Linked DNA regions of Bombyx mori. The protein of the gene in region 1 interacts with the protein of each later gene in a pairwise test. Links are inferred from orthologs where the notes say so. Each region holds a gene or a part of one and is shown on either strand. Other genes may lie near its edges. The genes, in order: TRAF3-interacting protein 1 and WW domain-containing adapter protein with coiled-coil homolog.

Region 1 (4,261 bases):
ATATCTGTTGGTTGATCTGTGTTGCTTGACTTGAGTTTTTTATTCTTGGACCCTGGGGGGCGACCCACTCTCTTACCTTTACGAGGCATCTTCAATTAAGTTTGCAAATCGTGTTTACAGAACAATAGTTTATTTAGTTTACAAAACGAAACTACATAAACAATCAAGAAGTTAGTGGGTATACACTTTGATATTACTTTCACTCAGGCGCTTTGAGAAAATTGTATAGCTTCACACAATTTGGTCTTCAAGTAAACTTTAGACAGAACAGAGCATCAGGCGCCACGTCTGCATATTAAATTTACATTCAGTCTTGCCAATGTAGTGTAGATCTAAGGAAAAGCATATCGAGCCACAATTTTAAACGATTAATTAAGACATAAATAAGTCTTGTTAAAATATTTATTTTGTAATAAATTGATTATTTTGATGCAATTTAAAAGAATTATTGATAAAATTATAGACCTACAAATTGTACACAGACAATAAATAAACATTAGTAATTGTGCTGATTTGTGCTTACGTAGGATAATCTATGATACGGTAAGTCTGCTTTTTTTTTTCAATATGAAAATTAAATGAGCTTCTTGACATGATATGGCGTATGTTGAGTTCAAATTAAAATTATGTGGATTTTTTTTCGAAAGTGGGAAAGGTGTATTGTAAATTACCAACTTGGGATATGCGTACCTCTGGGGTGTTCCGAATCCCATTGGGGGTACGTGAAAATTATATTGGTAATGGCCGTAAATACTGAGAAGTTTAAGTAGTTAACTTAAAAAAATTAAAAATATGATGATAATGTTGTTTTGTCTACAACATATAGTTTTAAATGAACTTTATTCTAATAACTATTTAATAAAAACGACCGATAAACCAGAAATGAGACATTTTTTAAGTATGGAGTTATCAGGATTTAATCGAAGAGAAATGAGACACATTAGGTATGGAGTTATCAAGGTTGGAGAACTCAAAAAAAGTTTAAGGGGTATGGGAATGAAAAATGTTTGGAAAGCACTGCTTTAGATCACCGTGGCGGGCACCGTGGATTTTCATAGCAGCAAAAATCAATCCTTCTTTTTGAAAGTACGTAATAAAAACAAGATCGCTGTTGCGCAAATTACTTTAGATTGCCAATTTGAAAGCTCCGTAAATCCTTGTATTTTACTGAGTGTTCATTTAATGCCATTCCATCCCATCTCATTGGTTTTAAATATGTTTTATTCTTTTTCACTTTTCATTCAAACGATATGGGTTTTGCCTGGAATTTTTTACAATTGTCATTAAAGCTATCTTGAAAATGGATACCGGCTGTATGGGCATATATCCCGTTCTTTGACCAACAAAACATTTTTGGGTTCTAAGCCGTTTCCATGGGAACGTACAGTGTACACAAAATTAAAAATACCACGACTCCTGACAACCTTTATGAAACCTATGTTTCTTGTTAAATTATTGTAATCAACAATTTTTTGTGTCGTTAAGAATAGGTATATGGTTATTTGATATTTATTGCTTCATGTTTACTTTGTAATATGTGCAATGGAAAAAGAAATAGATCCACAGATCATAAAAGAAACTCAAACATCTCTCGGAAAATATGTGAAGAGGCCGCCTTTAAGTGAAAAATTACTGAAGAAGCCTCCCTTTAGATTTCTACATGATATTATTACTAGCGTGAGTGCATATATTTTTCAAAGCACTTTAAAAACACACTTAGAAAATTCAAAATAGCAATGACTTCAAAAATGCACTTTTCCAGTGACGTATGATAAGATTCAGCGCCCTGAGCCGATAAGGTTTAACGCCTTAATAAAATAAACGAAAAAAATATTTTTTTTAATACGAAATTAAATCGTGCTTTATTGTTTGTGTGTAAAGAATAATCATAAAGAATGAAAATATGAAAATGGCCAAGTAAAGAAAAAGCAAAACTGAGCGCGTAATGATGCGGTTTGCGTCTATCCTAACAGGAGCCTTTTTAGTTTTAGGGTATCTACCCTAGAACCCTAGAGGCGTATTTACGCTGTGTAATTCCACTGACGAGACCTGTTACAGAAAAATGACCAATCTGAACAGAAATTAAATAAAGCAACACCATATCTATCTATACTTTATTTTTTTATATTAAAAAGCTGAAGAGTTTGTTTGTTTGGTTGAACTCGCTAATCTCAGGAACGACTGGTCCGATTTGAAAATTTCTTTCAGTGTATATAGGCTATTTAACATCACACTAAGACCAATACGAGCGGAGCACTAATAAATAATGTTTCAAAATCGGGTTTATTTCCTTTTGGGAGCCTCCGCTGCGTGCGCTGCGGAAACGGTTTAAGTGTCGCTAAAATAAAATATGACAAAAAAATCCCCTTTAAAAGTTTTAAAAAAAACTCCGCGACGGCATATATTGGCTCACTAAAACCTTTTTTAAACTAACCAAATTTGTTCTAAAATAAAGCATTATTTGTGACGGTGTTTTTATAAAGATGATATTACTTAATACTTATCCAAAGAAATACGTTATTCATTACAAGCATTTAATTTAAAAGAAATTGGCCCTTTACATAATTTGATTTCAATGAGTATCCTAGAAGATATCGCAGTTTTAAAATAACATTAGCAAAATGCATAAGAAAAATAATGATCAAGCACGTAATAATGGTGTAGGTAGAAGGCGCCGCCGCCGCGCCGGTGCGCGGCGACATAAAATAAGAACAAAAAAGAAGTACCCAAATCATTTCAAGATAGGCTGAAAATTGTAGATTTTTTCGATTTCTCCAGGATCCCATCATCAGATCCTGATCCTGATGATTACTTACAGGACCATTCGGGAAGTCTAGCGTTTCGAACAAAAAAAAAGAATTATCAGAATCAGTTCAAGCATTCTCGAGATATCGGTGAACAACATAGATAAAAATATGGTGGTCGAATTGATAACCTCCTCTTTTGAAGTCGGTTAAAAAGCGTGACTTTGGTCCCTTAAATAGCTCCTTAACATTCTTTATTAAATAATATTTACACCTTCTATGAAGTCCCGGGTAAAATTTAGCGTTATCCCAAAGTTAATTAAAGTCTAAGTAAAATAGTCTGATATTACTTACAAAATGGCTTAAGTAGCTAACATGTCCTGGTAACAAATTTTTTATTACCATTGTATTCACTGCCTGATCTGAGCTGATGTTAATCTGTTACCAAAGTCCATAGACATCGAGACCTATGTAAGTCTAAGTTTTTACTAATCATTATTTTCTCTAATGCTTTTTATTATTAATTCTAGGTTTTAAAAACAACTGGATTTTTCGAAGGTTTATTTGAAAAGGACGAGTTAACTTCTGAGAATGTTAAAGATAGAGAGAGTAAAATACAGTTTTTAAATAAAGTCATTTCAGTTATACGTAAGTTGATTTTAGATGTATAGATGGATGAACGTGCTCACAGCTCGCCTGGGGTTCTAATATCGGAGTCCATAGACTTCAAAAAGTGAATACCTACCTTTACTAGGGTCTCTATTTCAATTGGATAGTAGTTCTGCAAATTAGTTTTATGTAAAATTTTAAAGCTAAAATAGGTGACCGAGCTCACTGCATACCCGTGGTTATCGGAGTTCATACACATCAACAACGGAAATGGCAGCACCCACCTTGAGACATGAGTTATAAATCTTAGTTCTATAAGTTCCATAGCACGATGGCTACTCTACTCTGTCTTAATGTATTAGACAGGCAATATTAAGTTATGAGAATATTGTAAGGTTCAAATAACCGTATCAGATACCGTTTTTTTTCTATCTATTAATGTAATAACTACCGCTGTCTTGCCCATATTCTTTTCGAAACTTTCGCAGCTACTATAATATAATATATATTAGATTAATACGTTGTGTTCCCGAACTCACTCACATATTAACACAATTAAGTATGTATTTAAAAAAACTTACAAGTATTCTTAATTTAGTAAATTTATATACAGATTATACAACAGGAAAACCTATCAATATTAAGCCTTCAAAGATAGTAGCAGGTCAAGAGGCAGAGAAAACGAATGAACTCTTACAATGTTTGGCACAAGCTCTAGACAACAATTTATCGTCAGTAGAAGCAGTGAAAAAATATAAAGAAAATGCATCACAAAATACTGTGCTTATAAAAGAAACGAGATCTAAAGAATCGATTCCTAAGAAAAACAGTACAAAAAACTTAATTTCTAAGAGCAGCGATAATTTATCGAACCTAAAAAACGAAGCAAAAGAAAAATCTTCATCTAA
Region 2 (3,834 bases), on another chromosome or scaffold:
CTTAACAAATGTTCACACGATTGACTTCCATGGTGAAGGAATAACATCGTGTAATAAAAATAAAAAATAAACCCGCAAAATTATAATTTGCGTAATTACTGGTGGTAGGACCTCTTGTGAGTCCGCACGGGTAGGTACCACCACCCTGCCTATTTCTGCCGTAATGCGTTTCTGTTTTGAAGGGTGGGGCAGCCGTTGTAACTATACTGAGACCTTAGAACCTTTATCTCAAGGTGGGTGGTGGCATTTACGTTGTAGGTGTCTATAGGTTTCAGTAACCACTTAACACCAGGTGGGCTGTGAGCCCGTTCACCCATCTAAGCAATAAAAAATAAATAAATAAAAGGTTACTCAATCAAACCAAACACTGTTTATGTTCTAGTAACTTATTGCTCAATTTATCACGAATATAATAAATGACAGAATGCTAATTTACGACGTAACTGCCGAACCTAATTCACGCAAAATGAATTTAAAATGAGTACTAAAACTAAAATAAAAATACTAGTTTTGGTTTTGCAAACAACTAACTAAACTTTGTATGAATCTGTGCATTGATTTCAGATTCATCAGATTGATTTCAACTGTACGTTTCGATGAAATCCACCTTTACGTCTGTTGCCTACAAAAAAACATTAGATTTTGTGATATTGGAAACGATCTGCCAAAAATCCTAGTCTTCGATACAATTTCGAAATTAGAACAAATCTTGTCTGCACCTCTACGGTAACATGATGACGTGATGACTTTCTGTGTTTCAGTGGAATGTCTGGGAAGCTATTCATCAGTTGTCGGCGGCACGCTACAGCACGCACCGCCTATGTTGACGCCTTCACTTGTGAATTACGTCCGGTCTGATTTAACATCGCATGTTACCGGTTGGCCAGCCGATATACTCGAAAAACAGGTTTGTCATCTTTCTTGTGCTACTTGTTTAAGAGTTTAAAGCTTTTATTTATTTTCTAGTTCCCATCCTATGAGCAACATGCCGCCATTTAGCGAATTAATTTAATTGCTAAAATCTATTGTTTTGCTTAACGAATGTTGATATATATGTATATATATATAAATCTACAGTGGTTTTTACGGATGTTCCGTTATAACTACTGAACCATGCTTCCGATTGACTTGAAACTTGGTATCCATGTAGAAAATACATGTACTTACCATTAAGTATCCATATAGGCTAATATTTATATGAGTGTTGGACTCCCTAATAATAATGACAATAAATAATAATGTTAATTTTAAATGCCCAGCGAAGCGGGCGAGTACGGCTAGAATACTTATAAACTTAAAATATATATCCTAGTTTCAAAATGTGCTTATATTGAAAGTTTATACTAAATTAAATCAATGAATTGTTTGCCAGACACTCAACTTACTCTAAAACATAATTTGATATTAATTGAAGACATAATGGAATCTTACCAAAGAAAAGGTTTTTTTTTGTGTATGCCTTAATTTTACTATCATTACGTGTTAAAATGATTCGTATTGGTTCGGTATAATACTTTAACGTATATACCATCAAAATATAGCGGCATTAAAAAAAGAGTAGTTGTTAATTGTTCTATTAATTTTATTATGACTTTAACAATTTTTATTTGTTGATACTAAGACAATACATATGACACTGATAATTTACTACGGAGTAAACTAACCTATAGTCACAGCCCACTAAGTTTCTCGGCGGATCTTCTCAAGGGGTCGCGATTCCGATCCGGTAGTAGATGCATTCGCGAAGCGTCGAACCCGTCGCTTGCGACGAAGGGCCCGACGAGAAAATTAACCCTTAGACACAGCCCACTGAGTTTATCGCCGGATCTTCTTAGTGGGTCGCGTATCCGATAAGGTGATAGATTCTGCGAAATGCTGCTTTTGCTAGGGCAGATATTTTTTGTTTATTTTTTATTATTTTTTATTGCTTGGATGGGTGGACGAGCTCACAGCCCACCTGGTATTAAGTGGTTACTCGAGCCCATAGACATGTTAGAAAATTCTCTCAGGTCGAGCCTGTGAGCTCACATATCCGCCCAGGCGTAGCTAGAATAGCCCCTTTGGCTATCAGCGAATAGGTTGGAAAAAAAATCGACATTTCCGTGTGTCACAGGATTATTTGACAAATAATCTGAGTAAGTCGGTTAAGGCGGATCAGTTTCTTGCTTTGCCATAAAATAAAAATCTATTAAATATCATAGTATAAGTAGGCCAAATGATAAAGAAGTAATGAGGAAAAGTAAAGATCTTATTTATCACAAATTACAAATCACTGTTAGTATGTAGTGTTTTATTGTTTTGTTAACGTGCTTGTGTGTCCTACTTTTGCTGTGCTTATTATATTATTATTTGTAAAATCTGTACTATGAATAAATAGGGTAAACAGTAAACAAGGTTATCCAAATGAAAAATAGAAGTTGTTATTGTTATTGCTTTACATTTTGTTCTGGTGATGATTTATAATCAGGATACTAAATTCCCTTGACCTTTATATTACATACACATATTAAACATTATTACATTTCTAGATTATACAATAAAATAGGGTAGGTACTTACATTTTAGCTTGATTATATTAGACTCGTACTTTTCTTTTGTGTTTTTCAGGAAACTATATTTTCAGACCGGTGTAGTGTAATCTAAACTATATCATCTTCGGATCTGCTTCAATACTTTGGTTGAAATTTAATACAGTTCTTTTTCGTGTATGCTCAAAAGTTAATATGTTTTGTAGACTTGAATGATTTTTAATTTCACACGTGTCAATAGGACAAGAAATACGTTTCGAACGCTCCATTTAATATATCACTATCATCTCGACCTTTTTATATTTTTGCTATTTAGTATAAAAAAAATACTCTTCACATCTTGTTGGTTTGCAAGAATACCGCCAATATAGGTCAGAACTATTTGATATTGAATCAGATACAGAACATGATAAGATAATTTTTAACATGAATAGTGAATGTTCGAAACCAATCCGTTAGTTTTTGAATTCTTACCACGGCAACACGGGTCGCGATTTGACGGTGCCGTCGCGATTTGACATCTGTCACTTTGTCTTGCTTCTCGAACGGGACGGTACCTGTATATTGACGGTCTACGCTAAAGTTGTGTATCATCGCTAATCCTTATCCATTCCTGCCCCATACCCTTCTCCCTAAGTGATACGGCGTGAGAAGACGAAGGCATCGGTTCCGGTGAGTGATTGCATGATATTTTGTTAAAATAGTACACACGGCGCCGCGAATCGCGGCACATGTTCGACGCGCACCTCGTGCTGGTTTCCGTAGCCCTAGGCTGCCACGAGGTCGCTGGGTTCGAATCGAACAATTTCTGGTAGCAGAGCGTGGTTAGATTTGTAAAATCTACGGTAATTACCACGAATTGTAATTTTTTTTATGTCTAACCTCACTTAATTTTGTTACTAGTCAGCAGAAGTAGTGTAGGCATAGGGCTCGGTTCTGTTTAAACTATCATTCTGCTGACCTAGGTCAGGTCGTTTAGTGTGTTTCTATCCACCTGGTTAAGAAAATTAGTGAATAGAAATAGTTAGTAATATTAAGACTGATTTATTAGCTTCCACTGCGCATAGCTGACTAATTGTACGTGAGTTGGACAGCTGTGCTGGCTGAGTTTATGACCTAGCACACAGCTGCTACAGTGGTCAGCTATTTTCATACTATTACTACAGATTTATGTTAATTCTGCTCATCATAGCAGTAGATTACCACATCTATTTAAGCATAGTTGTGTGTAACAATCTGAATGTTATTACAGTTTGGGTTTATAATTTATTATTAATTTGTGTATGATTGTAGCTCACTTCCTACT

What was found.
Region 2: the proteins of TRAF3-interacting protein 1 (region 1) and WW domain-containing adapter protein with coiled-coil homolog interact in a two-hybrid assay, tested with the Homo sapiens proteins (2 studies listed by BioGRID and IntAct). The link is inferred for Bombyx mori from reciprocal best matches to the Homo sapiens genes TRAF3IP1 and WAC.

The regions. Positions count from the first base shown.
Region 1 is NC_085131.1:5,592,610-5,596,870, reverse strand, and holds the start of TRAF3-interacting protein 1, read left to right. Parts: upstream 1-1,359; 5' UTR 1,360-1,542; coding exon 1,543-1,677; intron 1,678-3,274; coding exon 3,275-3,392; intron 3,393-3,966; coding exon 3,967-4,261. Other genes in the region: gastrula zinc finger protein XlCGF57.1, read right to left, coding at 1-89.
Region 2 is NC_085107.1:9,926,272-9,930,105, reverse strand, and holds part of WW domain-containing adapter protein with coiled-coil homolog, read left to right. Parts: intron 1-761; coding exon 762-907; intron 908-3,834.